Linked DNA regions of Saccharomyces cerevisiae S288C. The main gene of each other region encodes a partner of the protein of the gene in region 2 in a complex. Each region holds a gene or a part of one and is shown on either strand. Other genes may lie near its edges. A codon is read from its position in the direction of its gene.

Region 1 (4,701 bases), on a different chromosome or scaffold from region 2:
TGAACCCTATATTTTTTGAAAACGAAACATATATGAGATGGTTACTAGATAAAAACAATGGTCAGTTGACCGAGGATAGATATATCCAGTTTGCCAAATTTGCCGCGGAAAGGATGAATAATGGGGGTGTTGTGACAGGAGATTATACGAGCTTGTTTGGTGGATCCATACCAAGTATTGAAAGCATAAGAGCTACAGAAAGTAGTTCCTTTGCGCCAGATAAAAGCCTCATTTCTTTAGCAAGCCACGTGGCATCTGAAATGTCTATTTTCGATGTAAATAATAACAATAATAATCAACTCTCTGATGACGATGTCAACTCGGAATCAAGAAATAGTTTGGGCTCATCACAGCCATCAAATTCGCAAAATATGTTCCAATCTGAGGTGTATAGCAGAAAAGAATCTACAAAGCGTTCTTTGGAAGCGAGTGCAGCCGATGAAAGCGATGAAGATGAAGAGGCCATCCGCCTTTTTGGCAAAAAGTCTAGAGTTGTTTTGAGCCAAGGTGATAGTGATGATTGAGAATGAATATGTAGTAATTAATCCCTTTAATACGTGTAATTTTAGAACCACTTCTTTACTCTGTTTTTAAGTTCAAAGTATTGACATAATATTAAAACAATACATGCGATTCATTCTTTATCATTACCTATATTTTTCTAAGTTGTTGAACATCTTAAGGAACTCAAATGTCCATTAGGACACATAAAATTAAATATTATATAATTTATTGCTGTTCCTGGGCATCATCGAAATTGTCATCATTGCTTGAAGACGCATGCAATCCGCTACTAGGACTATTTTCCCCTATTTGTTCTTGGGTTTTGTCGCCTATCGTCAAGTTTGTCTTTAAAGTTTTTTCATTATTATCCTTCTTAGAGTTCTCGTCTCCAGAAGATGCCCTCTTCGAGGATATATTTTGTTTTACATTAGACTCAGCGTTTTCAAATTCAGTCTGATCAATTGCGCTTTCTTCTCTAAATTGCTCTTCTAAATCATCCAAATCTTGGAGTAACTTCTTCTTTTGTATCTTGCGTTGAGGAGCCTTTTTCTTTATTATAGAACGACCTTTTTTATCTCCGCAATCGCTGTTTTCTTCATTATTATTTGCCGACTTAATGCTACTTTTGTCATCTTTCGTTACCGTGTCATCACCTTCACCGTTGTCTATACTCTCTGGTGAACTAGAATCTGCGCTACTTGTAGTAGAATCTGCTAGAGAAGATTCATCTTCTGATGAACTATCTGCGGTTGAATTATCTGTGGAAGACCCATCTGAAGAGGATTCATCACTTGAAGATTCACCCGTAATTTCATTTTCCATATCTCCACTTTCAAAGTCAAAAGCGTCGCTCTTTTGACTTTCTTCTGCGCTAGATGAAGAAAAAGGTCTTTTTGCGTCCTGCTTCCAAAGAGCTTTGTCCTGCAAGCGAACCGATATAGCATCGTTTTGATCCTCATCGCTGTCATCCTCAACTAACGGTCCAATTTTTGAAGAAATTGAATCATCCACTGCCCATATGCCAATATGAGTCCAATGAAGTATACAACGCAATTTACACAATTGCAGCCATGCTCTTTGAATATTAGTGGTAGGTTGTCCTGGCTTTGCATTTGTTTCAGAAGAAAAAATCTCCATCTTTGGCTTATTTTTTGTTGAAGAATTGATACCAAGTCCTGCCATAAAACTTAAACGTTTGGTTTTTTTGTCTTGAGAAGAAACCCTGCCGTCTCTTTTGGTATGCTTCGTTACTTCAGAGAATTTTTCCAAATCTTCCTTGGTAATGTTCTGCGTCGTTAGCTTTTCTAAATGCCATGCGCCTACCTTCAATGATCTCAGGAAAGCAAAGATTTCACATGTCTGCCGCAACTTTAGCAAACACCAATGACACAAGGGATACGTATTCGTAACTTGTTCTTTACCGTCGTCAGTCTTGTGCAACGTTTTCAATATATACATCCTTGCGTGTTCGATAATGTCATCTCTAGATTCTCCACAAAAGGAACATGCGGCGTGCACTGCAACTGGAGGTGAATCTAAGGGAAACTTGAACATTTTTGGCATATTCGAAGTGGCTTGCTTTGCAGGGCTACTTGAGTTGTAGCCAATTTGGTAGGTTGCATTAACGCCGCTTAGGGGTTCCACGACCACCAAACCATCTATAATCAAGGAAAGTAGGGTTTTTTTAACCAACCAGCCGATGCCTGAAGCATTATCAATCTTAAGTATAGGCTGGATTTCATCATTTACCAATCTTCGTATTAACTTTGATTCGGTTGAAGTTGCCTTTATGTTTTCACAACGGGGTAGTGCAGCGACAAATTTTAGAAATTCATTGTAAAGGCTTATATCATAACGAATAGATGAAATGCTTGGCGAGTACACAATTCCGCTATAAATATCTTGGGAAGCAAGAGAATATGAAGTTGGAACTTTATTCAAAGAAGTGCTAGAAGAAGTTGCTGAATCACTCAATATTGTGGAATATCTGTTCGAATTATTTGTGACTGTGCTTTCATTATCTAAACTATGCATCACTTTTTTCAGATTCTTGAGCTGTAGGGTCAAAGTATCCAGTAATGTGTCCTTTTCACGCAGTTGTTCAGTGAGTCTCTTATTTAAGATTTCGATAGCATATTTCTCCTTTCTAGCATCAGCAACCATATTATTAGCCTCATCAAAGAGGGAAGCAGTCAGATCCTCAACTTCTTTATTTAGTTTATCCGCTTCCTCTTCAGCTTTAGTTCGAAGCTCATTTTCTTTGGCTATATCTTCACGCAATCTTTTCACTTCGTCATCTCTGTCTGACAATTCTCTTTTTAAAGTGTTGTAATCTTCTTTCAACTGATTATAGTTTTCAATTGCTGCCTTCTGGCTGGCTATTGTTTTTAAGGATTTATTAAGCTGTTCTTCTAAGTGTGACTGTTTATCCACGCTCTCGATCAATTGCGTAGACAGGGATGTAACCTGTATTGATACTCTTTTTGCTTCCTCAGAAGCATCCATATTGAAACCTTTATCAAACACAGCTAGTAAAGGAAAATATATCCCAGTGAACTAAAGGTCAAAATTTTCTACAACTTTTGGATGGAAATCAACGTTGCTACAGCTGCAAGTGACAAATGATATTATTGCACGAATCACTGTGCTTGTCACTTAGGTAAACGAGAGCCATGTTTTAAAGGTGCTTCAGCGAACGCGAAATACAAGTTCCGGGTAGTCACATGGAAACAATGGCACATAATAAAAGGAATTATTTCAAAAATGCAATAGTAGAGATCATTTGAGTAAAGATGAATGTAAAGTGTATCATAAGTGATCTATAAACATTAAAATTATATATATATATGTGATTTAATGATTCGTGACTATTTCTTTGTACTAGTGCTTGTTTGGATGTTTGTTTTGGTATTACTGTTGTCATAATTTTTTGGTTTAATATTTTATTTGAAACTTAGCCTGTTACCTGTGCTAGCCTCACCTATGGATCTTTCCTTGCGGGCCCTCAATTTTTCTAGATGTTCATCGAGTATGGAATTTTGCTTTACTGGTGTGTCAGAGCCTCTTAGCTCCTTTAATAACATTCTAGCTCTGTCACTAATTTCCTCTTGATCTTCCAGCGCAGATGTCTTGGATGGCGATGGTAAATCTTCAGAGGTATTCATAACACCCCTTGTGGCAAGCGGAGTGGGTGATTCAGCGTGAATCACTGTATCGGCAGTAGGGTCCATAGCTTCTGGAGAATAAAGAATAGACCCTTCTTCAGTATCCAAATCGTTGAGTAATTGTGGAGCGTTGTCTTTTTCAGAAAGATATTTTTTCCTCACTAGGGCTCTCTTTCTGGCGGAAGATGGGTCACTTTTAGCAGGACCTGCATTTTTCAACTGTTCTAATAGTTTATCCATAACAGCGCGCCTATCTTCTGCTTCATCCTCTTCATTTCCTTCAGATGAAGGCGAATTGCTGTTCTCTTTTTGTTTTTCCTTTTCTTGTGCCCTTTTTTGCTGTTCTTCCACTATTTTCTTATGCTTTATATAAAGTCTTTCTTCTTCTTCCGCGGCTAGATTTTGCGCTTGAGCTTTTTTGTATTCATTTATAAAATCTGCAAATTTCTTAAAGAATGAGATTTTTGCAAACTTATCACCAGAATCTTCACCGTACGTATGCATCAGACTTTCAAATTCCATGATAGTCAGCTTAACTTCGTCTTCTAACAAGTCCCCCTTTTTTCTGGCTTCCGGTAACACGGGCAATGTTTTTATCAAAACTTTATCTAATGGATGAAACTTTGAGGAATCGCTTAAATTACCAATTTCAACTGAACGCTCTACGTTTACAATCGATTGGCTAAAGTCCTTACAGTCGTTAACTAACTGCTCAATGGAAACTTTCACGACATCCAATACAGGTTCTAATTCACTTAGAAAGTCATTGAAGCTTGGATAATTTAACCTGACAATTTTTTCGACGTAATTTAGAAAGGTCATGCTATTGGTAGTATCCTTGATAAACGTCAACCTCTGCAAGGTTGAAAGTTTGAAACCTTGTGCCTGCTTAGAAGTGTCGTTCATGAAATTACCAACTGCTAAGATAACATTAAAGACATTGCGCAAGTTATCTGATTCTTGAAGCGCGCTAACAGCTTTGTCGACTTTTCTTAACTTTGCCAATAACTCATTATATTCTCTTTCATACGAA
Region 2 (3,415 bases):
TGTTGAGGTGTAGTCGTTCTTTCTACTTTTTTTTCTAAACTCTTTTCGTCTATTTTATCTGTTTATACCTATGCCTCTTTCCCAGTAATTCGCTTCCGATAGAAAAGATAAGACGAAGAGAGCCTGCCTTTTTTGAGGTCATAATAGGATGGAAAAAAGTTGGCAAGAAGAAAGAAATGACTCTTAATGGGTAAGATACCAATTGCTTAAACACTCCATAAAGCGAATTTCGCAGTCAGTATCTTTCTGGAAGTGCTATACCGCAGTGCGGATTCATTTCCAAGCAGCACGTGGGTTTTTTTTTCGAATTGAGTGATTATGCAACCATACAGGAACCTTACATAAGCGCAAGTAGTTGAATAGTGGATTCAAGAAGCAAAACTTTACTACCGGTAAAAACATTAGAACGAAATAAAAGTGCTGAATCTTAAAAGTAAAATATATACTTGGATAAGAATTCCCAGGGAAACTGGGAACCTCGTTTTCCTGTTGCACTATTTTTTAGATTCTTTCTTGATTTTTTACCAATCGCCTGATGAAAATACCTTCCAGAGCAGAGAACAACAGTAGAAGTATGCTGAAAAAGTTAGTGTGAGAAGTTTGAATTGTTTAGATAATATAAAAGTGACATCTAATATGACTAATATAAAAATAGTAAGTATGGTAATCAAAAAAAGATACAAACAATGTATATATATAAAGGAAAAATAACCTGCGAATATTGAGAAAAAGGGAAAAAAGAATCAAGCGATTTATAGCTCTAATTCCAGTTCACGATTAATTCTCAAAGAAGCAAAAATCTTCTTTTCTTCAACAGCAATTTGATTTAGAACTGTTTCCGCTCCCACTATTGATGCTAATATTGCCCTCTTTACCGTTACCGACGCCAACAAGCTTGTTACTGTCGATTTTTTCTTGGATTAACTTCGCCAAGGTGAAAAAAATCTCGTTGACATTGTCATCGTTCTTAGCACTGGACTCGATGAATGGTATACCCAGCTCCTTAGCCAAGGCTTCACCTTGATCAGCTGTTACCACTCTCGTCTCCATATCGCTCTTGTTACCAACCAACAGTAGCTGTGCTTCATCGTTCGCATGCTCATTAACGGTTTTAAACCATTGCTTGATATTAGTAAATGTTCTCTCGTCTGTCACATCATATACAAGAATGATACCCATAGCACCACGATAATACGCTGTGGTGATTGTCCGGAAACGTTCTTGACCAGCGGTATCCCAAAGTTGCAGCTTTACCTTCTTACCGTTGATATCGACAGTCTTTATTTTGAAATCAATACCAATGGTGGTGATAAATGACGGGTTAAATTTGTCTTCAACAAAACGAACCAATAAACATGATTTCCCAACACCAGAATCACCAATCAATAAAATTTTCATAATAGAGTCATAGCTCTTTCCATTACCGGATGAAGCAGAAACAGTTCTCAAGCCTGACATGTTTATCTTGTTATGTTTATATTCTTTCTGGTGAACGATACGCCCTCGTGTATATACAGTATGTCTACTTTTTCTCCTTTTCTTATTCTTCCAAAAAAAAAAGTTCCTAGTTTATTTTCTTGGAATTGCAATAGGTTGGAATAATGGATCACTAAAAGACAAGCTATAGTGGGTAATTCAAGTTTCCAGCTTCCCTAGAGGTAGAATGCTTTGTTTGGTATAACGTTTCCCTGCCGTTGATCATTCTCAGTGGTGAACTTCCAGTTTTCCTCAAAATTGATTTATTACCCGGCACGCAGCCGTGATCATAGTTACACTAACAACTTACTTTTAGAGTAAAACTAATCAGCAGATAGCTCCAGCTATTTGTTTAGATGTACATATATGTCTAGATATGTGCTTAATATCCTATACTAATATGAATCAGGCATAGTAACTTCTCCATAGGACACCCTCCAGGTCTTCCAGTTCCTCCGTATTGAAAGATGCTCTATCGAACTTCCAAGTGTCGGCCCTCACCTTCTTGAACTCACTAATAGTATTTTTGGCAGCTTGTCCAGTCATACCACTAGTCCTGGCCCACGAGGATAAGTTGCTTAGTTGCTTGGGTATCCATGGCGGTAGGGGAAAAACATAGGGGAACGCTGATATAATAGCTCCCAAACCCAAAACGTTACCATGAATCTTGATATCCGTTTTGGATAACTTTTGTCTTTCTTTCGACGTGTATTTGTTGACGTCGAGACCCTTTGCAAATCTCTCGATTAAACTCAACAACGGCTGTTCCTCTTTCCAGTTATGGACGATATCAGACAAAATGGATGCCGCACGAACTCTCACCTCTACAAACTGTTCGTTATACAAATTGCTGACAACAAATTCCAAAATTTTGTTCTTTTCTTCCTCAGTAAGTTGAAGCAGTTCCGCTGATAAAAAGTGTTGGATGAAAGCTAGCTGTAGTTTCGTTTGGTTTGAAGATAGTGCTACATTTGACGAACAAACATAGTCAACAATGGCGGCAACATGGTTCTTTCTGATCGGCATATAGCCCAAGCCGGCATACAATCGAACAGGATCTAAACTGGCAAGAGCACAAACATCTTTATGTTTCACTAATCCGATCAGAAATGGTAAAACATAATCGACTAAATATGGAACTAACAAAACTTTATTAGGCCCTCTCGCCATTTCTTTGATCCAATAAAATATTGTGGATGTCCTGTAAAAATAGTCTGTCTTAATAAATTGTTGAGGATTCAGGCCGACAACGGAATCTTCCAGATTTTTAATGATCTCAAACTGCTTCTTAATATAGGCATCCACCTTTTCTGGGACGCTTTTTAATGGTAACCCTAATCCATCTGGATCATTCCGTTCTGCTTCTAATAATGTGGTTGGATCTGAAATTGACGGATTACTTTGATTTTGAACTAAGGTCGTCAATAGTTTAGCGACAGCCTGGCGAACCTGATCGTATGGGTGATCAAATACCAACTCATCAAATAGCTTACCAACATCTGGGGCTCTAAATTCCATGCTCATCAAGATACTTCTTAGCATGTAAATTTTGGAGGTTTGATGTGTGGCTGCATCAGATTCACGGTCAAACATGCCATCGGCGTTGATAAAATGGCAAAAAAAAGTTTTAGACCTTCTTAAATCAACGACTGCAGGCAACCACCATGCCAAGGTGCTCCAAATTTCAAATGCGTCATGGTTCAACTCATAATCTAAACATTTGGCTAGGAAGTTTTCGATAAAAGTGTCACGTTTGTCCAAGTCAGAGACTGACATAAACTTACTCCCGCAAACTAAGCCAGCCACTATCTCGACAGACATGATCATCGAAGCCTTATCGTCTTTGTTATAGTAGGATTCACATAGCTCAAAGAGATCCGACATATTCAGTTCGCAGAAACCAGATGATATCAAAAGGATTACTAAAGAGAAAAATGAC

What was found.
Region 1: the proteins of SEC4 (region 2) and SEC2 are in contact, whole or in part, in a crystal structure (PDB 2EQB), measured with the Saccharomyces cerevisiae proteins. Residues at the interface, in NP_116650.1 of Saccharomyces cerevisiae: Lys22 (codon at 1,395), Lys44 (codon at 1,329), Phe45 (codon at 1,326), Asn46 (codon at 1,323), Pro47 (codon at 1,320), Phe49 (codon at 1,314), Ile53 (codon at 1,302), Ile55 (codon at 1,296), Asp56 (codon at 1,293), Phe57 (codon at 1,290), Trp74 (codon at 1,239), Thr84 (codon at 1,209), Ile85 (codon at 1,206), Ala88 (codon at 1,197), Tyr89 (codon at 1,194), Arg91 (codon at 1,188), Gly92 (codon at 1,185); in NP_014127.1 of Saccharomyces cerevisiae: Asp95 (codon at 2,727), Asn98 (codon at 2,718), Lys99 (codon at 2,715), Val101 (codon at 2,709), Glu102 (codon at 2,706), Asp103 (codon at 2,703), Thr105 (codon at 2,697), Ala106 (codon at 2,694), Phe109 (codon at 2,685), Asp110 (codon at 2,682), Ala112 (codon at 2,676), Asn113 (codon at 2,673), Val116 (codon at 2,664), Ala117 (codon at 2,661), Arg120 (codon at 2,652), Lys121 (codon at 2,649), Tyr124 (codon at 2,640).

Annotation. Positions count from the first base shown.
Region 1 is NC_001146.8:126,076-130,776, forward strand, and holds SEC2 (guanine nucleotide exchange factor SEC2), read right to left. Parts: upstream 3,010-4,701; coding exon 730-3,009; downstream 1-729. Other genes in the region: TOF1 (Tof1p), read left to right, coding at 1-524; formin BNI1, read right to left, coding at 3,447-4,701. UniProt on the Saccharomyces cerevisiae protein: Guanine nucleotide exchange factor for SEC4, catalyzing the dissociation of GDP from SEC4 and also potently promoting binding of GTP. Activation of SEC4 by SEC2 is needed for the directed transport of vesicles to sites of exocytosis.
Region 2 is NC_001138.5:128,377-131,791, reverse strand, and holds SEC4 (Rab family GTPase SEC4), read right to left. Parts: upstream 1,459-3,415; coding exon 811-1,458; downstream 1-810. Other genes in the region: proteasome activator BLM10, read right to left, coding at 1,882-3,415. UniProt on the Saccharomyces cerevisiae protein: Involved in exocytosis. Maybe by regulating the binding and fusion of secretory vesicles with the cell surface. The GTP-bound form of SEC4 may interact with an effector, thereby stimulating its activity and leading to exocytotic fusion.